4 linked regions of the Oreochromis niloticus genome follow. The protein of the gene in region 2 binds, or shares a complex with, the protein of the main gene of each other region. Links are inferred from orthologs where the notes say so. Each region holds a gene or a part of one and is shown on either strand. Other genes may lie near its edges. The genes, in order: exosc7, exosc2, exosc1 and exosc6.

Region 1 (7,062 bases), on a different chromosome or scaffold from region 2:
CTCCAGAAACAACTCCAGACCAACCACTTGCTTTTTTCTCATCATTTATATTCAATATTCAACTTCCTGTATTACATTATGTTGTAACTGTGGCTGCAAAGGTGTAGCAACACAGTTTGTTCCAAAGCTACACACACACAGAAAAAGCTGAAGCATTTTTGGGAACTGTTTGCTTTAAAGTTCAAGTTTCAGATTACTTCCCCCGCTGCAAATAAGGTGTAAGTTCACCACCTTCACTCTGGTTAGATGAACGATTGCTTTATTGGAGTACTAAATGAGCTTTGAGTACACATGTTAGTGTCCCTGTAATAACCACGTATTTACTCGTGTGACTCACTTGATGTGTGTTTGACTCAACGGGTGGAGGAAGTCCACCTGTCGAGTTTCAAGTAAAACTTGCTTCGGGATGCAGGAAGCTTACACATGGCCGGACTGTCGCTGAAATCGACTCCCTTCATTAGAAACAACAGCTAGAAACAGCAATGAAACCAGTGTTGTGTGAAAATGGAGACGATGAAAAAAGATAGAAACTCAAGACAATGAAATAGGCAAGAAAGCCCTGGAGTGAAACTAACTACTGATGCTGAGTTCATTAACAATTAAGCCAATAGTTTCTTCTGCAGAATGAGTCTATAGATTTCTGTCAGTGAATAGCTGCTTATACAGAGAGGAAAACCAATTTAAATGGAACAGAAACACTTTACACAACCAATCTTGTCTAAGACGATCCGGAAGATACAGTAGATACAGTATGTGAAAATGTTTAACACGGTAAAGGTAAGTTCATTTGAAATGCATGCAGCACACTAAAACACTCCATGATTCACAGGTATTTTTGATACCCTGCTGTAAAATAAATTACACCACCGAGTGAAGGAGGCAGCTGAGCGGGCAGGCAGCACGAGGACCTCCTGTTGGGATAAACAGCCAGTTAACATGCTGATGTTGTTCCACTTTACTGATAGTCTCATCGGGCCACTTAAAAAACTGAAAATGGTTGTTTCACTCAAGACTAATGTGATGCTTCAGGGATTATTACCGCAAAAACAAACATGACCTGATTATGATACCGAATCACATTGTTTTATTTATCATCACGTACATACTGCTGTCCCTGTATTGAAGCAGAGTGGCAGAAATCGGAGACACATTAGACACAACAAACTGCTCATGGAGTAGCTGTTGATGGTCTTTAAACTGACAGAGCGAACTCTCCACTGGCTAAAGCAGTGATGCCAAACATGCGGCCCACCAAAGGGTCCAATCTGACCCACTGGATGGCTTTACAAAGAGTGAAAATTGCAAAGAAGTCATTAATTTGTCCAGTTTTTTCAGTAAAAAATGAATTGTTACTCATTTTACCGATGGCATATTTATTGTACAGGTGTGAAACGAATTGTTAGTTGAAAGTATTTCAAGATCTAGACATGGTTTAAACATAAAGACGTAGAACACTACACCCATTTTTCTCAAGTTCACCTCGGGTTGTTTATCATTTGTTTCACATGTGAATTTTTAACATGAAATGACACCCTGTGTTGTAGGCTTATTTTTAAGGGAGTGGGGTAAAAGTGTGCCTTTCAATTTAGCTTATCATTTCATATTTTTCGAAATATTGAATTCAGCTAAGGTGAACGCTTTTAAAATGCACTTCTTTACACTAAAGAAACACTTTCTTACACTTAAGATTTTTTTAATCAAGTTTTACTGATTTAGCAGACTTGAGATCAGCTTCTTGACCAATGCTTGGTGTGTGCGTAACCTGTGGACTACAGATGTAAATTGAATATGTGGCATGTTTACATCTACATTCATTATCACACACTGTTTGTGTTTAATAAAACATCTCTCCTTTGCGCTGTAGTCCTATACTAACACTCAGGTGCTTGTGGCCACAGATCAGGATGCACTCTGTATTCTTACAACTTTCTATCACAGCCCTCATGATGCTTGAGCACCCATCACTCGTTGTCCTTTTTTGGACCACTTTTGGTAGGTAAAAGTCTCAAAACCTGCGCTCTTTGGATCTGGTGTGACCTAACTGCTTCAAAGCAAGAGGCTCCTGGGTTCAAACCTTCCTGGATGCTCTCTGTGTGGAGTTAACCTGCTCTTTCTGTTGTTGTGTATGTTTTATTTAGCTGCTCCCATTTATACCTAATGTCCAAAGTTCATGTACGCTTAATTGGTGACTCTAAATACATTAAAGGTGTGGATGTGAGCTACGAAAAGAGTTAAAGGTGGAACAGAATAAGACCCTGGGTGAATGCGAGTTGTCAGTAGGACTATTAAATCTCAAAATCTCAAGTCAGTCCTCCTTCCAATAAATCATCAAGAACAGACTGTTCACCAATATATTTGACTCCATGACAAAGTGCGACTCTGAGGAGATGATCACCTTTTTTTTATTTCAGTCACCTGTCTTTGGTTTCACTCTTATATTACTATTCATTAATTTCTTATCTCACTGTGCTTTTTTGTATCTTATTGAGCTATTTTGTTTTGTCATATGACATTGATTTTATTAAGCCATTCACAATGAGATAAGCTATTTTAATAATAGTTGTATTTAATGTTATGGCAACTGCAAGACAGCAGTTTCATTACTTGTTTATCCACTACATGATTTACTGACTGGTCCTTCCAGCTCGTCTTTGGCCGATTTGATTTCGAGGATAAAAAAACAGACATCTGCTAAAATATGTTGAATAACCTGAAAGGCACTAAGGAGGAAATAGAACAAGGGTGTTTCTGGGCTCATCTATATGGCTGAAGTGCCTTTGAGCACGGTTTGCTGTATTTCAGGTAAAGTAACCACCACAAAGATATGATGAGTAGCGTATATGGTAACATATATGCTGTATAGGATATAACTACTCATCTTTGGGAAACCAAACCAGGAAGTTAACTGGTAGCTGGAACAGAGCGGGATGACTGGTTTTCCAGCAGTTGATAACTGGAAACACTTAAAATGTACAAAACCATTTTCCAGAGTGAAACTGGGTTTTCACAGCCTACCTCGCACTCTCCTGCCTTTCTCGACGGACGCTTCTTGAACTCTTCGTGTAGTTTAGAGGCTTGTAGAGTTAAGACACCCCAAACTATCCACACACGCCTGTCTGCCCCTCCGCTGCGTCCGTTAGCTCAATCCCAGCTAACCTCACCGATCTTCGGACAGTTGCCCTCCACGGCCCCAGCGACTCGGCTCCCGCTCTCGCTGCTGTCTCGTTTTCAAAGAAGTGTTAATTATCCTCGCTAACAGTCAGCTAAACGTGACCTGAAACAAGGTGCTGCCGAACTGCCGCTCCTCCCGTCAGATCCAGAAAGCTCTGCGGGTAGCAGGACAACAAAACGCAGATCCAACCAGGAAGTCAGACACCCTATCCTGTCTATTATAGGCCGCTTTGCCCTGAGCATTGGCTTCTAGGTGGTACTTTCACCCGGGCTGTGAGATCAAAACCTTGCAAAATCCTACCGACCCCCTTACGATGGTGAGGGCTACTGAAGGTTAAAGTGAGTAAGTCAGTAAGGAAAATAAATAATGAAATAAATAAGGGATTGTACTAGGGGAGAAAAATTTCCATAAAAAATTACGAGGAAAAAAAATGAGAGGAAAAAATGTGTCAAATAACCCCCCAAAATTACGATCTTTTAAGCAAAAAACAAGAACAAAAAAATGTCAATCTATGACACAAAAAGCAAATTTACACGCAAAAATTGGCAATTGTTGAGAAAACACTCACCTATTTATTAAAGAAAATAGCAAATTTTCTTTAATAAAATAGGAAATAGGAAGTTTTAAAAAAAGAATCTAAAACAGCAAATTTACAAGTAAAATATATAGGACACAAATTTCGTGGAAAAAAACTCACAAGAAAAAAATTACAAAAAATACGCGGCATAAGTTAAAACACGTGCAGAAAAGTCGTTGTAAAGGGTTGTTAAAACTTTAAGTTGCTTTTCGTGTCAACATCAGTGGAATATCTTTGTTTTTATGAGATTACTCTCTTGTGTTTGTTAGGTGGGGCGCTTACCTGTAAAGATTATTAGAAAACTCAAACAACCAGCATGCCCTTCGGATTTTTGCCCCATTGTCGACTTCTGATGACGCAGGGGTAAAGCGACAGACATACACACACATGCTAAAAGTGTTTCTGAAAAATGGCAAGAGTGCAAGTTAGTGAAGCTGAAAAAGTGTACATACTACACGGCATACGAGTAAGTTGTTAACAAACATGTTAAAAAATACAGCCCCAGACTTTTATTTATTCTGTTAAAATCATTTCAAATGTATGTATTTATGAGCTTTAGCGATGGGAAGCTAGCTGTATTAGCACTGTCTCTGTTGACATGTTTCTTCCTGGTCTTCAGGATGACTTAAGGGTGGATGGACGAGGCTGCGAGGACTACAGACACATGGAAATAGAGACCGATGTGGTTTCCAACACAGACGGATCCGCCAAAGTCACGCTGGTAATTAAATCAGACAGCATCTGCAGCTGAGAGCTCTAAAGAGAGCATGTGTGAACAGCTGAAAGACTGAAATTTAATGATATTTCAACAAAAATCAGTTACGGCCCAGTCCCGTCCTCTCATTTACGACTCTGAACTCTGGTTTGTAGTAAAAAGGTAACACATACAACAGCACTGCCGAAGGCCTCAGAGTATGTCCCAACTTCTTCCTGAAAAAGAGAATCCAAATAGTTCAAAGAACCAGAGTGTGGTTTGAGAAATCCAACACTGGCACATATGATTGGACTACATACCATAGAGTCCCATTTAAAAGGGACTCTAACTAAGGCCACCCTCCACAACAGTCCCACATGTGGCCCTTTGGGAAAATTAGTTGCCCAACTTTGCATTGACTCGTTAAACGATTTACGCAAAAACTAATTCTTAAAATCACATCTAAATTTGACTTGGAGCCAGTGTAAGGAAGCCACTATGGCTGATATGTGATCTCACTTGTCACTTAAGAGGCTTCCCACAGAGTTTTAGTCCAGCTACAGTCAGCAAAGCAAAACCTGAATGACTTGACAGATGAATGAAAACTGTTAGTAGTAAAGCTGAGATGAAGTGAAGGCATGAATAAGCTTTTCAGAAGTCAGAGTGCTGTTGAAGCTCATTTCCCTGTTCCACTGTCACACCAACCCTTTTATATACCCCCATGGTTTGTCTCTCTTTCAGGGGCACACAGCGGTTCTTGTGGGGGTTAAGGCAGAGATTGGAAAACCGAGGCCAACGGTGCCAACTGAGGGCTATTTGGAGTTCTTTGTTGATTGGTATGTATGCTGCTAAATGATATTTCTGTTTATGAGGGGTATAACAATTCTGAAACTGTGGTCAAAAATAGCGATACAAACATCCACAATATCATTTCACTATTCCACTTGAAGCTGGTAATTCCACGTTAAAGCACGCGTGTCTGGTGAGAGCTGTAATCAGGGGTGTTATGTGTTTGAGTCCAGAGGTGCCACTATGGATTTAACAGAGGGGGGAAAAGTCCCACAGCTCAGTAATGCACAGTAAGCAATTTTCTACAATCATCACAGTGATTATCGAAATTTGCTTTCTATGTTAATCACAGAATTATTTTATTTTATTTTTACATATTATTGATGGGCACAAACTGTATAGTGTAGCAGCAGAGTTGGTGCTAAAACATGTAAAAAGCCTGAAATTCAGTACTGATTTTGATTACTTCTGATTTGATTGATTAATTATTATCATTATTATTATTAATATTATTATTACAATTATTATTCTCATTATTTGCTGTGAGATTTATTTGGCAGCACGAGAATGTAAAGTAAAGTAAAAGTGTGACAGCTGCTGTTATATAAAAAGAACTCGAAATACCCCAGAATAAAAAAAAAACAAAAAAATAAAAACAGATTAATTTAGTGTATTTTTACTCCATTCATGAATGTGGTTTAAAAAACAACTGTTTTTTTTGTTTTGTTTTGTGGGGAGTTGAAAGGTAAGCCAGGCTGTGGTTCAGAAGAGTTGTTACACCCCCTGTTGGTTTAAACATGGGTGCGCGTCATTTTTTTACAGTGTTTAGGTGACACATCATGAATTCAAATCAAAATTTTGCATCAGCAATTAAAGATTTTAAAGACATTGAAAGTAAAAATAAATCATTTGAAGTTAAGTGAGTGTTTTAATGGATGTGCTGCCACCAGGAGGTAGTGTTGCATTATCTGTTCCCTGGGTTTCCACCATAGTCCACTACAGAAAATATTATCATATGACCATACAAAACGTATGTGTGTGAAGAGAGGTAGCAAGACTAGCAAGCTTTACTGTGGGATAAGCTCCTGCTGTACGACTTTACTGGGTTGTTTCTTCTTCAGTTCGGCCAATGCGACCCCCGAGTTTGAGGGCAGAGGGGGTGAGGAGCTGGGCACGGAGCTGAGTAACACCCTCTACAAAGTCTTCAACAACAAACGCAGCATCGATCTGAAGAGCCTCTGCATATGTGCTGGAGAACACTGCTGGGTGCTCTATGTGGATGTGCTGGTGAGTCGTAGCATCCAATGCTGCCTTTTGCTTCCTGAAATTTTTTTCTTTTTTAATATTTATTTTTTTTCTAGTGTGCAAAAAAAAAAGAAAAAGTGCACTGTACACTGCAGCTCCCTTTGTCCATGACTGCAGGTTTTTTTGCCCTGCATTTGAGGGTCATTGAATTTTGACCAGTGATCCAACCAAAATCCTCTCCTCTGCTGCAATAACAAATGTGTTGTTTTTAGACAGAACAAGATATTTTTGGACAATAATTTGACTTTGAGAACTTATTACACCAGTCATTTTCACAATTTTCTGACATATTGTAGCACAAAAAAACGAATAAATAATTAAAATTATTCCATCACAACCCTAGATGTGATTCTTATGGGCTTCTGTTTTTATCCTCAAAACGACAAGGCTGCATTTACCTTTTTCTTCCTGTTTGTATAGTAAGAGTTGTTAGCGGTGTAGAGGTGTTAAGATTTACTTGAAAATTTCCAAATAAATCCAAACAACTTGGGTCAAATCTCATGTTTTTATGCTTCCACAGCTCCT
Region 2 (7,637 bases):
AGCTGGATCGAAGGTGACCAACTCAAACAGTCAAGGATGCTCCAACTTGATGGAATATTTGGTTGCTCTGGCCTTGCGTTTAGGTTGAATGATGAAAGTTTGTGCATTTGGTTGAAGCTAAGCACACAAAACACTACTTGTGTGAGCAGTAAAAATCATTAATGGATGGCAGCGTTCCCGTTCCATTGACAGCCATGCATGCCCGAGCCTCTTTCCAAGTTTTAGTTCATCAGTCCATAAAAATCTGTTCCAGAACTCTCACTGATTTTGCAAACTACAACCAGGCCTTTCCATTTAGAAAAAAAAATAAAACTGTTCCTTGTGCTGAATGCTTAGGTTCTCTACATATTCTCTCCACTTAGTTTTTCAGTCCACACCTTCATTTTAAAATAAATGTTTAAATTAACTACCTTTTGATACAAAATATACAATATATTAACTATATATTTTTGCTTTTCTGTATCTTGTTACTTTCTTCGTAAGCATGGTCGTGTGTTGAATCCTCCTACTGATAGACAAGAACAGCTCAATACTCTCAGTGAACTTTTAGCAGCCAAGCTGAAAACTAATATTGCAATTACTATTGCAGACAAAACTGCCACATAGTTCTTTCGATCTTGATGTAAACGTACTTAAATCAATGCTCAAACAGAGGCACAGAAGGAAAAATGTGGGCAACCGCCAGTGCTACCCCTCAGCCTCTGAGCAGACACACCTTTGATCTCAGTATGAAAATTCTAGATGGCTTCCTTTTCGAGTTATCGCATTCACACGAGATTTGTGAAGATCAGAGAACTTATTTTGACCTTTGACCTTGAGGTCAAGGCCGCTGAGATTTGAAGTCAACCAAGATTTTTAGTAAATGCACCAATTGTATCAATTTGAAATTCCTACATTTCCTGAAACAACAAGAAATTGTTTTACAAATTCATATGCCCATTGATCAGTAATAAAAATATGGCGTCCTACCTCAAGGCTGGTGTAGAAACCTCCAGCTTCCTCCTCCTGTTGGCCCGGTGTGGGATACAACCACACAAAGCCGTTATTCCCCAGGATAATGGATGCGCCACACGGCAGGTTGTGGAAATGTGTTTTCTGCCTCTTGATCAGAGAAGGGGAAAGCTGGACCAGCACTCCTTGACCCAACTGATAGTCAGGGGAAGTGGAGACAGGGTGTTAGTTTAAATGAAAATGAAAATAACGATTGTTACTCTTATTATTGAGCTAACACAGTTACTCCAGTTTTTGCTTGACTTCCCTGGCATCCTGTCAGTTTTAGGGTTAATTTGAATATTATATTGATTGTTTTTTGGATACTGATTAGGTTGGCCTGGCACAACTGTATTTGTCTGGTCTTATTAATGTCCACACTCCTGTCAGAGCTCTGAGGTCTGCTAATCAGTTGATTAAAAAAAATAGAGCTCGTTGAGCTTTTTCAGTTGTTGCCCTGAGTCTCTTGAATAAGTTTCTTTTTTTCATTAGATCTACCAAAACGGTTTCTATTTTTCTTTACTCAGTTTCTACTTTCCGGCCTTTAAAAAACCTTGACATCTTGCTCGTGAAGTGCTTTGATTAACTTTGGTCATTTGTAATGTGCTATATAAATAAACTTGCCCGTGACTTTTTCACATGTCTTTGTGTACACTGGAATAACTTACTTTTCCATACTTTAAACTGCGGGTGTGAAGTGACAGAGCTCCATCCATGAAGACAGACTGCACCTCTGCCTGAAACCACAGGAAAGGTTCAACACAGATTATATAACTGGGAAGCCAATGAGAGATTATAATAGAGAAGTCAGACTTACACTGATTAGATCTCCTTCCTGAAGATATTCTCTCATGGTCAGCTCATCTTCTGCTGATCTTCTCCTCTAAAAAAAAAAAAAAAAAAAAAAAAGGAAAGAAAAGAAAAGAAAAGAAAAAGAAAAAGAAAAAGAAAAGATGATCAAATATTAATTTTAATATGTCAGCCAAAGCCGTCTTCTCCCAGTGAATCACATTTTCTATCATCTCACCAGCTCTCCTCCTGGCAGGTTTACAGAAGACAGCAAGAGGACAGAGTCCAGTCGGGAGTTTGTCTCCACTTTCCATCTTTTCTGCTGCACCTATACATTTTAAAGAAGAAGAAGAAATTTTCTTTAAAAGCCTTGGAAACCAAAATGAAAACAAGTTGCTGCAATCACTGTCTTTTATTATAACTAGAGCGGCTGTATACGGGAACAAATACTAGGCATTACCTCTGTAATTCTGCCAACCACAACATCTCCAACTTCACCATTAAACCTGCAATCAAAGCACACTTCACAATGTAAGAACGAGTATATAGATAACAGGCCCATCTAAGTCTTTGACTGTTTAAGAGTTCAACCACTCACCTGGTTTTAAGTGGCCTGACACAGATGAGTTTGTCCACCCTCTGCACCTCTCCTGCGACTGAAGCTGTCAACTTGTCGTCATCAACGTAGGTGCCATGACCCCTGCGGACAGACGGTATCAAACATTAGTTCTGAAGAAAACAGCCAAAAAAATAAAAAGAAATAAGGGGTAAAGTGCAGCATTCAGAGGTCACACAAAACAATGCTGCAGTTTATCCGATTAGAGTCCTTATCCGTACTTACTGTGTATCAGTCTAGAAGATAGCAAATGAGACAGGCTGACTTTATGCTCACCTGCTAATTCAGTATGGCCCTGGCTATCATCTGGAGCATTTTTAGTTTATTTTTTAAATTACCTTTACAAGCCAGATACCAGAAACAGACCCGAACAGCAGCACACTCCTGTGTTTGGTTGATTTTCCATAATAATTAAAATAAAACCAACACCTACCTCATGAACCCAGTGTCTGAAGTAATAACATCCCCCGGTACGACCAGATCTTTTCGGTCAAACGCAGACGCTGATAGCGACACGGTTTTTCTAATAGTCGGTAATCTCATATCTGCAGCCATGCTTCTGCCTTTGCTTCTTCTTCTCTTCACTTTTTTGGCGGTATACGGAACTGATAAGAGTTTTACTGCCCCCTACTGACGCGTTAGTTGTATTTATTTACTTTTTTAAACCACCGAGTCTAAATAAATGTATATTAAAAAAAATAAATATATGTCTTATATCTGTGGCGTTAGTGATATATACAAACAGTAAATGTTAATGAGGAGAAAAACTCACAAACACTGTTTCTTTTTCTTCTTTCGCCACTGGCATAATCTAGCTTCTTCCCAGCCTATCTCTAGCATCCTCTGTCACAACAACTGCACATCCTCCTTCACTACATCCATGAATCTTCTCTGTAGTCTTCCTGTTTTCCTCCTGCCTGGCAGCTCCATCTTCAACATCCTTTGTCCCCTATATGCAATCCTTTGCTCCGAACCATCTCAGCCTTGCCTCTCTTGACTTTGTTTTCAAACCACTCAGCCCGAGCTTTTCCTCTGATATACTAATTCCTAATCCTGGCCATCCTGGTGGACTGCCAGTGGTAATCTCAACATCTTCAGCTCTGCAACCTCCAGATCAGTCTCCTGTGTTTTTGTTAACACTAACAAAGACACAGTGCAATTCCTCCTGACCTTCTCTATACTTTATGAAGTACCATGCATAATTTTAAATGTCAGTTCTCCCTTGTCTTCACACGAGCCTGCAGAGTGCTTCAGCATAGTCCTGTTCCACAAGCTTTATTTGATTTGATTAATATGGGAAGAATGATATACTAACATGATTAAAATGCCACGTTATTTTAATAATACTCTCATTCTGCTAAATAGCGCCACATTTCATGAATGGATTTATGAGCTGGATACAAGAGATAAAATTGATGCACAGGCTCTAAATAATTAGGTTAAAAGCTTGTGTGCATATATGTTGATTTAAAAAGAAAAGAGCACATGTAATGTTGATTATGGCTGCAGGATTCAGTGTCCTGGTTCCAATTTTAATATGGAAATAATAATAATTATTATTATCAAAAGAAGAAGTAGAAATAGAAGAAAAATAATTTATTTCATTTAAAAGATGTCAGATAGACTGCAGTCGCACAGTTCAGAAGTCACACCGCAATTAAATTGTTTTTCCCAGGCAATTCCATTTTCACCACCAGGTGGCAGCATCGAGCCAAGCTGCCGCCACCGCCACCTGGATTCGTACAACGGAGCGGTGACGTCAGATGTCAACAGGACGCAAACTTCCACTGTCTCAGCCAATCAGCTTTAAGTCAGACAGACTCTTGGAAAGATGGCGACGGTGAGGCGCAGAGGAGTGAAAACTGGACGCTTTGCTGTTACTAAACACCGCAGATCCACACTTCGCTAGAACCCACACGGCACCGGGTGTGGAAGTTAATCGGGCCGCTCTTGAGTCTGAACCCGCCGTTTGGGGCCGTATGGTGAACCTGCGGGTCTGCGTGCTGTTGTTTTCGGTTACACTTGGACTGCTCATTAGCTTTAAGTTGAAAAGCCAGCGCTAGCCCGGGGCTAGCTGTGTAGCCTCCGTCGGCTGTTTGGAAGCTGTATGGCACCCTTAACCGGTGTCAACACTGGCTTGTATATACCTTATATTTTTGGGGGGTATTTCCGGAGTTGCTCATGAGTCACCTGGATTAAATATTGCACTTAAGGAGGAACAGGGGACCACAGACTATTTGGCACTGCTGCGCCGAGGCGGAGTGAGTTTGCCGTCATGTATTTTCTAACCGGCTGGCCACGGAGGCTGCTTTGTCCGCTGAGGAGCGAAGAGGAGCCCTTCTACATCCAGCCCAGCTCCCAGCGCTTTTACTTCGCTCTGCTCTCAGAGACCCAGCTCAGCGTCTGGTTTAGTCGGGTGAGTTGAAACTCGGATCGGTCTTGAAATCAGCTGACAAAAACAAAAAAACGCTAGCTAAGATATTGGATCTGGTATCGTTTTCATTTCAAACGCATTGCAGCAGAGGGTGATAGCCTGGCCGGCTGCCCTTCATGTTTTATTAAGTGCCGTAAATAAACACGGGGGGAAACTGTGGTGTCCCCAGATGAGTAACTCAAACTACTTCTTTTTTTTTAACCTTGATGTGTTGGCAGAGGGTTCCACGTACACACCTATCAGACTGCAGGTGAACTCGTTACACATCATTACACGTGGATGAGCTGTCGTTCATTACTTAAGTTATAACAATAATTTGACAGCAAAACTCAACCACAGTGGATTGGTGTTTACCTGATAGACGCTTTATAGCAGTTCAGTTTAAAGTTTCCCAAATGTTAGTAAATTGTGTATTTTGGTAGGTGGACTGGTACTATATAGTGCCTTTCTGCTCAGATGAGCATTCAAAGCACTTTCTTACTATAAGTGTTACACACATTCATACAGATGCCTACATTGCGGGGGTCAGTACCTTTGGTATCTTTGGAGGAGTCAGGGAGCAGTCCACGGACCTTTAGATTGGTAGACCACCTACTCTACCAACTAAGCCAAGTACAGCTACCTCTGCTGTACTCATCAGTTTTACTCAGCAGCATACAGGTCAAAGGTTAAGTTACTGTCAACAAAACATTTGTAATAGTGTTCAAAACATGCCATGGCATGTTTTGCTTACCGGTAGTTTTCAGGAATTTAGGCAGCGGAGTTACAAAATAAATGTCAACATTTATCTCAGCACAATAATCAGGCTGTTTATTTTGCATGTCATGGCCACAAATGCATCACACGACAGGAACATTTCACAGTGACTTAAAACCAATCAACCAATGTTAATTCTGTCTATTTATAAACTTATTGGTGCGGTCCATTAAGTTTATAAAAGTTCCAACATGCTGTGCTGCAGCTGGTTTCTTAACAAAACACCAAACTCTGTCGAGCACTGCAACATCTAAAACATCTGGCTTAATTGACTCCATTCAGTCCACTGAACCTGCTGGTATAGAGCCAAGGGAGCAGTGACTTTGAGGTGCGTGGTAACAACATAAACAGGGCTGACCAGATGGCGATGCCAGTGATGTGACATTTGGACAGACTGTAGAAATTAGTGGTAGGTCAGGAGCTTGTCAAACACATGAATGCTTTATTGGCAAGCTCTTCTTCCCAAGAAATGCAAATAAAAACATCAAGGACTTGATAAGTTGTTGAAACGAGGGTTAATTGATTAAGTCTAACAGCATAAGAAAAAAATATATGCGTATATTTAAATATATATTTTGAGTCATTGCATGTGGGATTCAGGTGATGTTTGACATGGTGGCAGCTTCATCATATTAATTCCTGTTTTTCACACTTTTTAAAAAAAAATCTAAAATGTAAAAAAAAAAAAATGCAGAGAGTAGACGTGGTTTCTCTTTTACTGTTTCCAGGGAACTTCTCTACCCACTAAGCTCAGCTTTCAATACCATAGAAATGTGGAATGGGTCATGAATTGTTTGGTGTGCCTCCATTTTAGTACTTCTTCAGTATCTTCATCAACATCATACAGAGTATTTTGAATTCTTCCGTGTTGGCCTTGTTTATTTGGACGTTTTTGCCATGGTGACATGGAGAGGGAGCATATGATTGATTTTTATAACCTGCACTTGGGTACATTGTTTATAACGGTCTGTGATACACAAACATGCACACACACAGTCTGAATATTATTGAGTTGTGGCAACAATGGATCAGGGTTACAGTTAATTTCCCGAGACCTGCACAGGATGCGACCTTGTTTTGTTTCCCCTCTTTCTTAAGAGTTCTGAGTGCCTGCAAGTATCCGTGGGGCATCCAGGAAAAGGAATGTCGATTGGAGGAACTTCTTCCTCTTAACATGTGCTGGTCACCCCTACTAAGTCCATTGTGTCCTTCAACTTTTCTGTAGAGCTTAGGGGTTATCAGATGGCTAACATCAAGCTACTGCAGGGCTACCAGAGGAAGAAGTAATTTAGAATTTTAAACAAAATAAGGAAACAAAAGTTGGTGAACTAAATAGCACCAAAAATTTAGCTTAGTTGTTTTGTTCAGTCTTGCCAACTGATTGAAAGAAAGTACCAAAAGTACAGACTAACCTCACTGTGATGTTTCCTTTCAAATCCAGTGTGTTGATGTAGAAAGACAAAAGTAAGCTATTGAGCTGCCAACTTGTCAGTGTGCTACGTCTATTTAACTAAGTTTTGCTTTTCCTATTGAGGAGTTGGGTGTCTGTTTCCATCTGGTTCAGGTGTCATTGGCATTATTAAATTTTAATTGTATGAAAGCGACACCATAAGGCAGGAATGGTGAACCCTGTTGTGTCATTACAGTGAGTAGATACCAGCATTAAAGTTGTACAGCTGGAATTACATTACTGCTTTACCTCACCGTAGCCAGTGCCCTATTTTTTCTGTAATACCAAACCTTTTTTATATGTTCTCAATGGAAACCGATTCAACAGCCTTAGACTCCAGGATGCCATACATACTTTGAAAATGATTATGGTGCTGATTGTGCAAGTGGAAGGACTGGATTAACTGAATCAAGAGAGGTCACCAGAGTGAAGCCCACACATGAAAAAGCTCGATTACCACTTTCATTGGCAGTAAAATCAATTGGCAGTCATACTTTTGTAGCAAGTCTCAAGCTTCCATTATTGCTGATGATCTGTGCTGTTATTGTTGAATGTTGAATTGTACTGCGCCAGATGCTTGATCTTAAGAAACCAAATATTTT
Region 3 (7,915 bases), on a different chromosome or scaffold from region 2:
GCTGATTCTGAGTCTAGCAATGCTGTCAATGCTGCTGCTCCACCTTCATTTTCTACAACCACCTCCTCAAAACAGGTCTTGCTTTTGGCTGCCTCAGGCCCATCTCACACGATTAGCAGTCTGAAGGTTTGGCATGCATATATGGAGTTTAAGTAGAGACTTTAATGAGTTTATTTCGTTGTTTTTAAATCAACTTATCAGTTTGAGTTGGAAAAAGACTAGCTGGGGAAGTACTGCTGAGAATTACAATTAGATTAATTTTTATTTTGAAAAAAAAAACAATAAAAAAATATGTTTTTGAATTCATCTTAAAATCTGGATGCAGTAATTACTATTTTTATGTTTAGTTCCAATCATAGGATAGCAGCAACTTTAAAAAGGCTTCTTCATTCTTACTTCACCTGCTATTTCTAACAGTTTCTTTACAGAATCAGCTTCAGTGAAGGTTACAAATGAGCTTCTTATGAGTCCTCTTCAGATAGGAAGGTTAACTATGGAGTTCCACAGGGTTCCATTCTAGAATTCTGTTTACATTATACTTGCTTCCCATAGGCAGTACCATTAGAAGACATAGCATACATTTTCACTTATTTTCACGTTATGCAGATAACACTAAACTTTATCTATTCATTCATTTATCTATGAAGCCAGATAACACACAACAATTTGTTAAACTACAAGAATGTCTTAAAGACATACAAACCTGGATGACCTCTAATTTTCTGTTTCTAAATTCAGATAAAACTGGGATTAATGTACTCGGTCCTAACAATCTTTGAAATGCAGTGTCTAACAGATGCTTACTCCGGATAGCATTACCGTGGCCTCCAGTAACACTGTGAGGAGTCTTGGATTGATTTTTGACCAGGATGTCCTTTAATGCACATATTAAACAAAAATGTAAGACGCCTTTCTTCCATTTCCAAAATGAGAAAGATCCTGTCTCAGACTAACGCTGAAAAACTAGTTCATGTATTTATTACTTCTAGGCTGGACTACTATAATTCGTTATTATCAGGATGTCCTAAAACCTCCCTGAAAAGCCTTCAGCTAATCCAAAATGCTGCAGCGAGAGTACTGACAGGGACTAGAAAGAGAGCATATTTCTCGTATATTGGCTTCTCTTTATTGGCTCCCTGTTAAATCCAGAATTGAATTGAAAATCCTGCTCCTCACATACAAGGTCTTGAATAATCAGTCCTCATCTTATCTTATTGGCCACCCTTCCTGAGCCTGTTTTTGCTGTAGGTTTCTTCCTGTTAAAGGGGAGTTTTTCTTTCCCACTATCGCCAAAGTGCTTGCTCATAGGGGATCATATGATTGTTGGGGTTTTCTCTGTTTTCTTTGTGTTATTGTAGGGTCTTTACCTTACAATATAAAGTGCCTTGAAGCAATTGTTATTGTGATTTGATGCTGTATAAATAAAACTGAACAGTCTACAATAAAATATTAGACAAAAACTGGCTCAAATTTTGTGGTTACCTGATCGTGCCTCTAAAGCGGTCCTTCAGTGGGGTGGATCCTACATAAAGGATGTGGACTTTGGCAAATCTGGGATTGATGCTGGTTACCTGTTAAATGAAAAATAAATAAAACAGATTGTAAACTGTGCAAGATTATTTACTCAGAACATGCAGCGATAGTAACAGTTTCTTATTCTATTGCATACCTTACAGGTGACTATTGCTCCTACATCTGGCAGCAGTTGTGTTTCTGTTTCCCTCACAACTGAAATCACTGGTAACTAAGGAGACAAAATAATCCCAGTAGAAGTTATCCATATGATGTGAATATCACCTTAGACAATTACAAAACTAGTTCGCTTACTCACATCAAAAGACATTGCAAAAATACCTTTAGTCTGGCATTTGTACTTGTCTCACTGCTGAACAAACTTTCCCCTCCCCTGTCTTACCCACACCCCTCACCTCCTCTCCCTCATTCTTCCTGAGCACATAGCCTGCTAGTGACGAGTATATGTAGCCATGTCGCAGGTATACTCCTGTGCCAGGAATACAGTCTTCTGAGCTGCATAGTTTGTCACCTAAGTATAAAAAAAGACACAGATGTGTTAGTGTTTGGGTTCTGGAGATGCACTGTTCCTTCTAAAAAAAGAATTAAAATAAAAACATCTTTGCATGAGTCATCACCAAAAATAATCTTTATCTTATACTGGGCTTTGCTCCATGTCTGAACCCAGCCGTTTCACATCTCCATCAACCATCTTTATCTGACTGACTTCCCTTCACAAACAGACAAATTGAACATCCTCCCTCTCTTGAGGACATAACAAAGATCCAAAAGTAGAAAAAAAAAACGAAACTTAGCATTCAGTAGAGTCTGAAGCCTGAGCTACTGGCTTACAGGGATGATCTGTACATATCATTATTTAAAACGTTGCCCATGTTTAATATAAGCATCCACCATTGTAACAGAATATTTTGTTACAATGGTGAACGTAGACTATATAATATATAACTAAAGAATAATAAAAATAATAATAATAATAGTTTCCCTTATTTTGGTTATCATCTGCTAACTGAAACTGAGAGACTAACTGAGGATACTTTGATGTAACAGCATTGTGGGACTAACAGTGTATCTGCAAACCTTAAGCACAAAACACATCATGGACAAGAAGATTAAAACACAAAACATAATTTATGTCATGTGACACAATACTACCCTTCATTTTTCTTGCACTACAATTAATTATCTTGCTACTTTGTGCTCTTTCACCCGTAATTAGAATGAAGTTAAATGTTACTCCTGCAGACAACTCATTTAAGGTTCACTACTGCCATGCGCCGGATAGACCTGCGGCTTTCCCACGGGTGTGACAAAACAAAGCTCAGGAATGCGTTATCTTGCCCGAGGAGATGGGCAGGGCTGAGGATCGGATCTCATCAGCCGTGGAAAGCCAAAGTCAGTAACTCACAGCCCTGCAAATACAGTAAAAGACCATGATACGGTAGGCCTGAAAACCCCGACTCCATCTGACAGTCAGCTGATCCAACATGTGATTGATTGTAAAATAAGTTACTACAGCCTTACAAGTACGGGAAGCCAAAGCCCACTCCACGCATGGCAGCTGGAAATAATCACCAGGGTTTCACACGCTCAGAATGCAGTTTAACTTCCTTTTCTAATAGAAAATGACTCTAAAGCTGTTAAAGCTGTCTACATATCCCAACATACAATCTACACACTGGTATATTTAGTTTTTAAGCGCTTTTAGAGACGAATTTACTGGACTCACCGGGAACGCACAGCTTCATCGGCGACATGTTTTCGAGAGGCGTACGTAGGCAGCCTATTGGTTAGGACTAAGGGCACAGAAAGATTCTGATTGGTCAGTGTCATTCAGCGTCAGCGGAACAAAATGCGTTGATCCGCCATGATTGCTGAGCCACACATGGGCGGGTACGTGCCATGTGTGCATTACTATATGATTGAATAAGTCATATATGGTCAGATAATTATGAAATACTGCTGCGAGATACTGCAAAATTTGGTAGCAATCTGATGCTAAAGTATCGGACACCAGTACCAGCATTCTTATTGATACTATTGATATTGGTATCAATCTACCCACCTCTGCTATGAAAGTTAGCTACTTCCAGTATTGGGATTTCCTAGGTTTATTACTTCCCTACAATGTAAATTAAATTGTCGATGCTTTTATTCAAAATCTGTTTCTCTGAGCATGGTTTTAAAAGAATCATATAATCGGAAAATTGCCACCGAGCAGCCATTTTTTCAAAATAATCATGTTTATCATAGTCCTGTTACGGTGCATCTCAAACCTTCGAGAAAATAAAAAAAAAGACTTGCCCCCATCCCACAAACTAAAACACTCTCTCATATTTTGGATTGGTTGCAGTTTACAAAACTAAGTATCTGAGCCTCCTGTGAAATGTGCTAATCTATGGATGCATATAAGAAATACAAATATGTTTAACCAACAGAACAGCTGCTGAAGTAGCAGTTACTGTGACAGAAAAGGGAGAAACAGGGACTGTCACATAATTAATTACAACAAACTTTTAATTTCTGCCAATCGCATTTACTTAGTGAGGGAACTGGATAAAGTGCATTTCAATATTTGCCTTTTACTGAGACAAATTTCTCAATTACCATATAAAAAAAAAGTGCAGTTGTCCTGGAAAAAAAAAAAAAAGACATCACACACAGTACACTGCATAATGACTCACAACATTTATTCATTTTTAAGCACAATGCCACAGCAAACAATATTCAGCAGTCTAGAGCAAATCTGCTCTCTCTTTAACAAAGCCAGTGTAACTTTTGGTTTTTCCTGCTTCCGCTGCGCTTCATCTACATGGATTGTAAATTGGAAAGAATACTTGGAACTCTGCTGGGGTAGTCTGTTTGCTGGTCCCTAATTTATATTTGGTCAGTGCTTAAACCACATTACAACTGATATCCACAGTCTAATAATGAAATGCATGTTTCAGTATGTAACAAAGTAAAGAGCAGTCAAATTAAACATCAGATTGTACATTTTTGTGAAAAATGGGTGGTATTAAGATAAAGTGCACATTCTGTGTCTACCTGTCCTCAAGTCTGTGATGACACAAACAGTAAATGACCCTTTCACAACTTGATGGGGAAAGAAAAAAAAAAAAAAAAAAAAAAAAGCAGATGATGATTCTTTACTCCCAAAGGAAGGACAAGTCTATTTCTTGGCTTTGCCCTGAGCAGCCACAGCTTCCATGGCTTTCTTTACAGTCTCCTCATCTCCCAGGAACTGCATGGGCCCAATAGGCTTCAGGTTCTTGTCCAGCTCATACACGATGGGGATGCCTGTGGGCAGGTTCAGCTCCATGATGGCCTCCTCTGACATACCTATGAAAAAAAAAATGACAGACACAGAGCTGTAATTCATTTGCATGTAGCTGCTGCTGCTGCTTTAGACCGCGTTAAAATGTTTGACAGCAGATGGTAGCTTTGTATGACAAACGCATGATTGTTAAACTCTTATGTTAAAATTCACAACTTAAGAACTAAAATAAACCTGCTTGGAACAGATAATACTGCCTATCCCTCAGCCTGCTAGTAGATACAGAAATAGTATAAAATGTGACCTATGACCTTGACTTTGAGTTCAAGGTCACAGATTCAAACTCAAGGTCAAGGTCCTGGTGACCTTGACCTTGAGGTCAAGGTTACCAGGACTCAAACTTGCCTGAGATTTTTAGTAGATGCCTCTATGGTATAATTTCAAAAACCAACATTGTGTAACTCTAAAGTTATCACAGTCATAAGTTTGCACTAGTTTGCACTACTAGGAATGTAGTCACATTAATTCACATGCGGTGGCCACCTAGACCAATAACTATCTGCTAGTTAAGCCACTGCAACAGCTAATAACTTAGCACTCTACGCTCTTGTCTATAAGATAATTTCTGACTTCCCTAAAACCCAAATGGATGATATCAAGTTCATAGGCCTTTATGAAGGTTTAGCAGGTACCCCAATTCATTGTTGACTCATAGTAAGTGAAATAACACTGAAAGGTGTTTTTAGTGCTGAGAAATGTTTCACAAGTTTCTCTTTTCCTTACCCTCCAGGTGCTTGACAATGCCGCGGAGACTGTTGCCATGGGCAGCAATCAACACCCTCTTTCCTTCCTTGATCTGTGGAACAATCTCTTCATTCCAGAAAGGAAGTGCCCGAGCAATGGTGTCCTTAAGACTCTCACAGCTAGGGAGCTGGTCCTCTGTCAGGTCAGCATAACGTCGGTCCTACAGGGAAAAAGAAGAAGTCGGTGTTGTCAAAATAGTTTCAGCAACGCAGGGTTACATTGATGCAATAACGAAAAGAGTCAACTTGTCACAATTTCCCCGAGCTGCTTAATACCTTGCTTATGGTCTGATAGTAGTCATGTCCCTCATCCATAGGTGGGGGAGGAATGTCAAAAGAACGCCTCCAGATCTTGACCTGGGCTTCCCCGTGTTTGGCTGCTGTTTCAGCCTTGTTCAGCCCAGTCAGACCACCATAGTGACGCTCATTGAGGCGCCAGGTCCGGTGGACAGGCAGCCACATCTGGTCGATGCTATCCAGGACAAACCACAGAGTGCGGATGGCCCTCTTTAGGACAGATGTGTAGCAAATGTCAAACTCATAGCCAGCATCTGAAGGGAAAAAGAGATGACATTTAGAAATGTGCATTTCAAAACAGCTTGTCATATTTTTCATGAAGGAATACTACTGCAGCTGCCGTTCATGGCTCAAATAATAGATACCTTAATGTTTTATTGCCCCTCTTTTATCAGTTGCTTCTGATTTTGCTTGGTCAGGGGCCGCAAGGCACTGGCAAACTTAACACTGCAAGATGTGCCTGTTTGGGATTTTCAGGTCATATAAAAAAAAAAAAAAAAAATTGTGTTGTTCCGTCCACCTAACCCCACAAAATCCAGCATGATGACTCATGAAACAGTAATATTCTGCCCTCCTCTGGAAATAAAAGCATCTTTGGCCTGGTTTTTATGCTCCAGTTTTAATTAATAAGCTTATTCCTTGGGAAAAAAAACATTTCAATAAATACAAACACTCTTAAAATCGTCAAAGACGCTAAATTAATCGCATTAGGACTCTCCTAAATACCTCTGTGGTTAAAGACCACCACAAATAAGAATTGCTTCCTTTGAATTAAAATTAGAGGCTGTACTGCTGCACCAGGAGGCGCCAAACTGTCTGCCCTGGTGGGAGGGAAGCTAATGGAAAAAAACTCCAGTAGCATTTAATTTGAAGCAGTGACCGTGTGGCCCAGCAGACTGCGGAACAAACCGTGGAATGACTCCATCCCTTCTGCCCCACTGGGCCTACTACCGGTTTGCCCATTCGACAAAGTTGCGTAAGCACCGGCTTGCCTTGGCTTAATCCAGTGACCGAGATAAAGCCCTATTAGGCCCGATGACATTTTCTGATACCGTACCTTTCAAGGCCTGTCCTCCCCTCTTTGCCTCCTGCTCCCCGGCCTCGCTCAGGTCCGCGTCGAACCAGCCGCAGAAGCGGTTCTCCTGGTTCCAGCAGCTCTCTCCATGGCGGATCAGCACAAGCTTGTACGCAGCCATCCTCACACCAATGCCCTCTACGCTGTATTTCCGGGAACTTCGGGGAAAGTGACTCCTCCTAAAAGGCGGCAGCAGCAGCAGCAACGCTCTCAGATTTCGCCGGACTTCACCGAAACCCTGAAAGTTCCTACACAGCAACAGGTCGGTGATTGCTTTACGTGAGCTCGAGTGATGGCAGGTCTGCTACTGCGGAAGGTTAGCGACTAGCCCAGTTTGACAGCCCTCACGATTTGAGTCCTCTTCCTCTCTTCCTGCTAGTTTCCACCAATCACAAGGCGTGCTGCGTTCAACGGAGGAGGAGGGAGGCAGGAAGATGCGCACAGCGGCACGTCCACACCGACTTTTGTGCATCAAGTTAACACGTGCCTGTAAAAAAAAAATCATGAATGATCACTTTAATCATTGAAAAAAGTCATTTATCGCATATTCTCACTAAATTAGAAACATCTATTCAATTCAGTTTAATGAGTGGAAAGAGAAGAGAGCAGAGGGAGACACACATGCACACAAGTTTCAAATTTGTTACTGTTGATTAAATCTAGTTACTGGTTATTAAATTTATACACTACTCTGTAGTGGTGTATAAATACACGGAGAGCGAAAGATTGATCATATTTAAGATAGAACCATTAGTTAATTAGCATTTGTGAAACATAATCGAAACATAAGACTGTGCCATAATCTCAAAGCTCCTAGTCTACATAGTTTCTCTTGCCACTGTCAAAAACGCGATAATCGGTTACTTTCATAATTCTTTAGGTCACTGTAGACAATTTACTTAAATGCATCAAAGATGTTATAGATATTTGTGCACT
Region 4 (6,798 bases), about 14 Mb from region 2:
AGCGGATCACTTACATGAAACAGATGAACCAGAATTGGTTTGTAAAAATGGTGCAACTTCAGTGGTGTGGAACTGGTTTGGTTTTCGTCCGTCAGATACACACCAAAGTACAATTTTTGGTAGAGCATGCAAGTGGGCCGTCGTTATTACCTTGTTTTTCGGAAAATAAGGCATACTTAAAATCAATCCTTTGATTTTCTCCGGTGCGCCTTATGTGTGAATTCTGGTTGTGCTTACTGACCTCGAAATGATTTTTTGTGATACACGGCACTCAAAAATCTGTCAAAAAATGTTTTAGTACGACGCCGCACCGCTTGATGGATTGTTGGAGCATTACAGCTACCGTAGTCAGGAGGCTCACGGAGCAATACATACTGTGCTTCAACATAATATTACCGTATTGTGTGTGTATAACCTCTTTTTAAGTTTTGTGGATATTACACATGGTTATGCTGAGGATATGTCGGCCAATTTCCACTAGAAATGCCTTTTGGTTAAACTGTCAGCAGGGAATTTGCATTTTCACTATTAAATTTTTATATAGTTTTAATGCACATAAAAAACAGCTACTTGTTTAAGTGAAAATACATTGACGGGGTTTTTTTGCACTAATAAAGTTGTGGAGTTGAAAAGCATTTTGTCCCGTGTCAATTATATCGTCAGTAATAACGTTATTGCAAATTTTCAAATATATATCGTGATAAATATTTTTGGCCATACTGCCCTGCCCTAATGGAGACTATATAGATTTTTTTCTGACTGGATTATAAATTCATGAAGTAATCACTGTTGCCACCCTTACATTTGACACCCTCTGTAACTCAAAGTTGAAGTTTAATCTCTTTTTAGACCCACAGTTTTCCTCAGCTCAGGGTTGATAAACTCAAGAGTTGTTAGCTAAACCTGCTTCCTGGAATAGGTCCCAGAAACCTAGTGTTTACTAAAGCAACCAAGGTCCATTTTCCCACAGACCATGACATTGTTTTGGAATGTCGCCGCCTCTTTCTGGCCATTAAAAAGATTGCAGGTTTAAGGCACTTCCAAACTGGTTTCACTTTTCACATCACAAGCTTTATCTATTTTTACATACAGTCAATGCTCCCAAGGCTCACTCACCCCAAGTCCATCCAGATCTGTTTGCACTCCAGGTCGGGCTCCAGGCCTGCATCCTCATTACCTCCAAAGTAGGTGACATACAGGCGCTCTAAAGGAATACCAAACTCCTGAGTCAGCAGCTCCAAGGCCATCTTACAGGCCAATTCCTGCAGAGCAAAAATGATGCAATAACAATTTAGAGCTGTTTAGACACCGTCTTGTCCATTAATAATGATAATTAATATGTCATTGTAATATAACAAGCAACATTGACAGAAAGGAGAGAACAGCAAGATTCTCACATAAATCAACTTTAACCACTTTACCCAAAAATATAAAAAGAATGAGATGAGGTCCAGGCTCATATGTTCAAGCATTTTTGTATTAGAATTATCTCCTTTTCCATACTAGCGAACAATTCCCTCATTCTTATTTTGAAAGTGCCCTTTTCCTGTGCCTCTACAATGAGCTCACCAGTACTACAAAGCTGAACAGCTACTGTCCAAGACAAAGAAGTTATAGAGTTGTAGACTGACTTGAGAGGGAGCAGATTATGCTGCCCAGTTATACATTTGTCACAAAATACTTGGCAAACAAAATATTTGCAGAGGAGAAATTTATAAATGGTGAAAGCGCTTGCAGCAACGTGTGTGTATACTCGAGCACCATTCCACAAACATGATCTAAATCTGTGGGAAAGACTAAAAATACAAGTAACAAAAAAGTTAAACTGATGTATTGGATGAAAAAAATGTAATACCTTAAAGTAGTCCCCAAAGGACCAGGAGCCCAGCATCTCAAAGAAGGTGTGGTGGTAGACATCTTTACCCACATCGTCCAGATCATTGTGTTTGCCTCCTGCACGAATACACTTCTGGGTGTTGGCAGCACGATGCAGCCTGGCCATGGGATGTGATGGATCAATAGTGTTGAGGAAGATGGGCTTGAACTAAAGGAAATGAGGTGCAAAAACAAAAAATCTTGAGAAAAAAATTATTTTTTTCAAGAAAGTTTGCTAGATCTGATTTCTGAGCCTATTCTAAAAGTTGTGAATCAGTGGGTACATAAAAAAAAAAGCCATGGTGTAGGAAGCAGTGCTGGGAAAGACATGGTGTGTACCTGGTTCATGCCAGCATTGGCAAAAAGCAGCGTGGGGTCATCCAGGGGGATGGTGGATGAAGAGTGAACATACTGGTGCTCATAGCGACAGAAGAAGTCAATGAACTTCTGGCGAATTTGAGCTGCATTCAAGGAGGAGTCCATTCTGAAGAAGCTCTGTGAACAAAATTACACACAGAGAAAAGAAACACTTTAGCTATCAAGCACATTTAAGGAGGTCTTGTCCAAATGCAGCCAGTGATTTTTTTTTAGTTAATTCTTGGTCCAATTAAATTGTTCCAGGTCAAAGACAGAAGGATAATTTAACCCATAGAAACTGGTCCCATTTAGAGAGGTGGATGATTATTTGGTCTGAGTAACAGCAACTTTTCTACTAAGTTATTAAAACACAATTAAGGCCTGTTCTTCCCTTTCAGGCAGTAGTCACCTTAAGGGTACACTCTTAGTGCTCTTGTATCCAAATACTAATTTGGCAAGTACAGAAGAGGTAGGTAGGTAGGTAGGTAGGTAGGTAGGTAGGTAGGTGTGTGTGTGTGTGTGTGTGTGTGTGTGTGTGTGTGTGTGTGTGTGTGTGTCACATCTTGGGTAAAGCTTTTTAACCAGCTGTTTAAAACACTGCCTTAATTAACAGCATCAGCAATTTCCCATGGGTTTCTCTTCCTGTCATATGACTTTGCAACTAGCGAGAGCTCTGGCAAGGCTGGTGCATAAGTTTGGGGTTGTACAATTTTCTGTCATATTTTAAATGCAAGTAATGTGCTTTGTTGGAAGCTGTTGAAGTAGCTCCTTTTTAGGTAGTAAAATGTCATTCAAGGCAATCCCATATAATAAAAAAAGAATTATACACTTGTCAGTGCTTTTAAAGGCTGGTTAAAGAACCGTCCAGTATTGGCCAGAAAATACATGACTTTGTCCATAAAGTATCAAAACATTATGAAATTGTTTATCGGTCATTCAAGTGTCATGCATGTTTTGATTTTACCACTCCACACCAAAAGCTTAAAATTAAGTCTGTTTGTACGGTGTGGCTGTTAACCTAGCTGCAGCTAATTGGCCTGAGGCTCTCCTCATAAACAACAGCAGCTCAGGAATCCAGTAAGACAGGTGAGGCGCACAATGCTCTAATCTTAAACCATGAAGTCAAATCCAATTTTAGGTAAGAATGGAAACAAAAGCACTTTATTTGGACTTTTGCAGTACACATATTTCATTAAAAATGTGATACCATATATAATTAAAAGGCAGCAGAGCTCAATTCCCATTGGTGTAAACTAACTGCCAAAGGAAACCTCAGCTGGTGTTTTCAGCTTTCTGGGAATAAGGAGTGGATGACAAACAGCCCATGTCCCCATCCTGACAACAAACCATTTAGCGGGCAACCAGAGAAAGAAAAGACGTGGGGTGTAAGTATTAGCCCAGTGGTTTTGAGAAATAAATAATGGTACATTTTCAAGACAAAATAGGGACATATATAATCATAGAACAGGTAGACGGAGACCAGGTTGATGATAAATACTGGACCCATCTTTCAGGTTAGTGACAGGAACAGCCCTGTTCTCTGTCTCCATGGCACAAAACCAGTGAACTTAATCTCGCAAGTCTAACATAAACTTCCAGACCACACAAATTTGTGACAGTCATGTGATACAACATATTTCCTCTTAAAGTGCTACCAAAAACCGACAGTCTGCAATGTAAGCTAGTCAGCTGACTATAATTGCTATTCTAGGTAGAGGCACTAGCTTGATCTGACGTTAGCAGGCTAATGTGTTAGCCAGTTAATCAAGCTACCTCCCTGCACTCAGGCTGAGATAGACAGTTCGGCACACTGCTCTAACTGAAAGGCTATTCTGCTGAACAGTACAATGAAGATAGCTTATTTCAACTACATTTAAACACATGAAAATACTCACAGAAGCCGCTATTCCCGCAGAATGAATCAGGTACTTCTCCTTCACTCCACGCTGCTCAAACAGAAGGAAAGCACAACCAGCGGTCACACCTACGACAGCCTCCAATTGGTCCGGCTACACAGAAACGTCAGGAATCTGCTTTCCTATTGAACAAATCTACTGTCCTTCTTAACAGAGCCCGCCACGGCAGCGATACAAACCTCCGTGCTTTGGCTGATGCAACTAAAACGGTGTCAGCTCAGATTTTTGTTGTCGTTTTTAAATATATTAGTTGATGTAGAGAAATATGTGAGAAAAGTCCGCAAGCCCAATGAATTCCAGCTTTTGTTTCAAGTCGAGCCGAACATGTATTCTAACTTTTTTAACTAATGTTGTTATTTATTTATATACATTTTTAAAAGAAATGATTGTATTCTGTCCTTGATCAATAACATGTATCACTTTTTTGTGACTGTTATTTTATGGCAGAGGAACTGACTAGTAATAATGATGAAATATTGCTGCATCCGTACGTACTCGATATTTCGCTTTTCTGATGTAATATCCTTCAGTGTGCGTATATTAGCGGAAGCATTTCTCCCGCATGCTATGTTTCTAGGGGAAGAGATTTCGTGCGGGACCGGTTGCTTGGGTCATTTACTTCAACATGCCGACTGACACCAAACGTGTTCGTGGTCCAGAAGTGTCTCAGAGCCCGTCTCTGTTTTCGTGCGATCCGGCGGCGGTTCTGCCCTCGAAGGGGCCCAGAGCGGACGGTCGGCGGCGGGATCAGGTCGACGTCCGGCCCGTTTTCGTCCGCTGTGGCCTGGTGAGCCAAGCTAAAGGCTCCGCGTACTTAGAGGCTGGAAACACCAAGCTGATGTGCTGCGTTTACGGCCCCAGAGAAACAGACCGGAAGGATGAGACGGATATGAAATGTGGAAGGTATGGAGTTTGTTTGTTTTAAATCTTTAAGCATATTGACTGCTCTAACAACACAACAAACAAAGACATAGGTTTCTGATGATTAAACTGTGAAGTCATAATAAAAATACAGCCTGCTGTGTCTTACATGGACAGCAGCATTTTGGGGTTTTCTTTATTTCCACCACTGTTCTAAACTACACATGCGTGAAAACTAGTCTAAACATTAATAAACCCCATAAACAATCGAAATGCAACAGAATGTTAACTTTTGCCCAAAACAGTTGCTGGAGACATTATTGACTTAATCCAAATGCAGCACTTTTTTAGGGGAATAAAATGCTTTTTGACATATCCATAAATCATAAATGTTCACAAAGAGGCAACTCCTTGTGTTTGATAAGAGTTTTTGCATTACTTTCACTGCGAACTGTTATTTAGTACCATAGTTGGGTAGAAAACTGAGCTTATGTGGGTATACCATAAAGCATTCAGTTTGAAGTGGACACTGATATCTGTGAGAGTTTAAAAAAAAAAAAGACTCAACCACAACTGTTTTTCTCTGTGTCCAGATTGACTACTGACATGCGCTTTGCTCCATTTTCCTGCCCGGAGAGGGGCTCCTGGATTCAGGGGAGTCAGGACAAGGACTTTTCCCTGATGTTACATGAGAGCCTGCAGCCCGCCATATGTCTCCACAAATACCCTCGCTCTCAGATCGAGGTCAGCGTGATGGTTCTTGAGAACAGCGGTTCAGTTCTGGCCCATGCCGTCACATGCGCCTCTCTTGCGCTTGCAGATGCGGGGATCGAAATGTATGATCTGGTGCTCGGTTGCTCCATGCGCCAGGATGGCACCTCCTATGTGGTTGACCCTTCCTACATGGAGGAAAATGGCTGCAGCTCAGTGAGCTGTGAGAACCAGGGCGGTCTGACTGTCGCATTCCTCCCAAGCCTGAACCAGATTTCTGGACTGCAGTCTGATGGAGACATGACTGAAGAGACTCTGACCGCTGGGGTGAGGACCTGTATTGAGGGATGCTATAAACTGTACCCAGTTATCCAGCGTGCCCTGACAAAGGCTGTGCGCAAAGCTGCTCCATCACAATCAGAGAGCTGAGTGAACCACGAACTCCTCCGTTTAGTTTTTCCTGTAGATCATTTCCAATCGTTAGTAAAGAACATGATCTATTTTTCCATGTGTGGTATTAGTTTATATATTAAAAGAAAAATATTCACTCTGAGATTCGCCTCTTTGCATTTCCTCATTAAATATAGACAGTTAAATAATGTATATTCTCCCTGGGATTTGACACTAAATGCTTCCCACAACACTGGAGAGAAATTGTTCAACTGGTATATTTTTAGTAGGTGAACTCTGGCAATGCAAATAGCCTCATATAAGCAATATATGCAATATAATTACAGATGGATTTGGTCACAAAAAGTTTGTCAACACCCTCTGTCACAAACAGAATTACACAACCATTAAACTTGTCCTTGTCTTGTGTCCTGGCAGAGCAGGTAAGGTATGGCTACATCTGTGTCAACATAATTTTGTGTTCTACAAGTCATCCTCATACCATTAGGGGGCACCCTAATGTTTTAGTGAAATCTGGCTGTGGTTAATGACTATCTTTACCACAAACATGCTGCAGCACTCAAGCTTTGTACTTACCTTTATTCATCACACAAGCAAAATGTTATTTGGAGGTTCCAGCAGACTGTAACATATCTGGGATGAACATGTCAAGACAACTCAATCTTGT

What was found.
Region 1: exosc2 (region 2) and exosc7 share a complex: the UniProt entries of both Homo sapiens proteins name them as parts of the RNA exosome core complex. The link is inferred for Oreochromis niloticus from reciprocal best matches to the Homo sapiens genes EXOSC2 and EXOSC7.
Region 3: exosc2 (region 2) and exosc1 share a complex: the UniProt entries of both Homo sapiens proteins name them as parts of the RNA exosome core complex. The link is inferred for Oreochromis niloticus from reciprocal best matches to the Homo sapiens genes EXOSC2 and EXOSC1.
Region 4: exosc2 (region 2) and exosc6 share a complex: the UniProt entries of both Homo sapiens proteins name them as parts of the RNA exosome core complex. The link is inferred for Oreochromis niloticus from reciprocal best matches to the Homo sapiens genes EXOSC2 and EXOSC6.

Annotation. Positions count from the first base shown.
Region 1 is NC_031985.2:15,930,236-15,937,297, reverse strand, and holds the start of exosc7 (exosome complex component RRP42), read left to right. Parts: upstream 1-4,056; 5' UTR 4,057-4,158; coding exon 4,159-4,215; intron 4,216-4,368; coding exon 4,369-4,470; intron 4,471-5,184; coding exon 5,185-5,279; intron 5,280-6,353; coding exon 6,354-6,519; intron 6,520-7,057; coding exon 7,058-7,062. UniProt on the Homo sapiens protein: Non-catalytic component of the RNA exosome complex which has 3'->5' exoribonuclease activity and participates in a multitude of cellular RNA processing and degradation events.
Region 2 is NC_031972.2:21,288,296-21,295,932, forward strand, and holds the start of exosc2 (exosome complex component RRP4), read right to left. Parts: upstream 3,001-7,637; 5' UTR 2,951-3,000; coding exon 2,829-2,950; intron 2,480-2,828; coding exon 2,378-2,479; intron 2,286-2,377; coding exon 2,240-2,285; intron 2,108-2,239; coding exon 2,018-2,107; intron 1,874-2,017; coding exon 1,808-1,873; intron 1,728-1,807; coding exon 1,659-1,727; intron 1,147-1,658; coding exon 970-1,146; intron 1-969. Other genes in the region: guanine nucleotide exchange factor subunit RIC1, read left to right, coding at 4,671-4,811. UniProt on the Homo sapiens protein: Non-catalytic component of the RNA exosome complex which has 3'->5' exoribonuclease activity and participates in a multitude of cellular RNA processing and degradation events.
Region 3 is NC_031971.2:31,387,479-31,395,393, forward strand, and holds the start of exosc1 (exosome complex component CSL4), read right to left. Parts: upstream 3,022-7,915; 5' UTR 2,997-3,021; coding exon 2,939-2,996; intron 2,833-2,938; exon of another isoform or gene 2,693-2,832; coding exon of another isoform or gene 2,686-2,692; intron 2,045-2,685; coding exon 1,929-2,044; intron 1,745-1,928; coding exon 1,670-1,744; intron 1,572-1,669; coding exon 1,483-1,571; intron 1-1,482. Other genes in the region: pgam1b (phosphoglycerate mutase 1b), read right to left, coding at 4,700-4,869, 5,588-5,768, 5,884-6,158, 6,962-7,100. UniProt on the Homo sapiens protein: Non-catalytic component of the RNA exosome complex which has 3'->5' exoribonuclease activity and participates in a multitude of cellular RNA processing and degradation events.
Region 4 is NC_031972.2:7,647,195-7,653,992, reverse strand, and holds exosc6 (exosome complex component MTR3), read left to right. Parts: upstream 1-4,725; 5' UTR 4,726-4,773; coding exon 4,774-5,051; intron 5,052-5,602; coding exon 5,603-6,149; 3' UTR 6,150-6,273; downstream 6,274-6,798. Other genes in the region: aars1 (alanine--tRNA ligase, cytoplasmic), read right to left, coding at 1,117-1,262, 1,856-2,044, 2,215-2,358. UniProt on the Homo sapiens protein: Non-catalytic component of the RNA exosome complex which has 3'->5' exoribonuclease activity and participates in a multitude of cellular RNA processing and degradation events.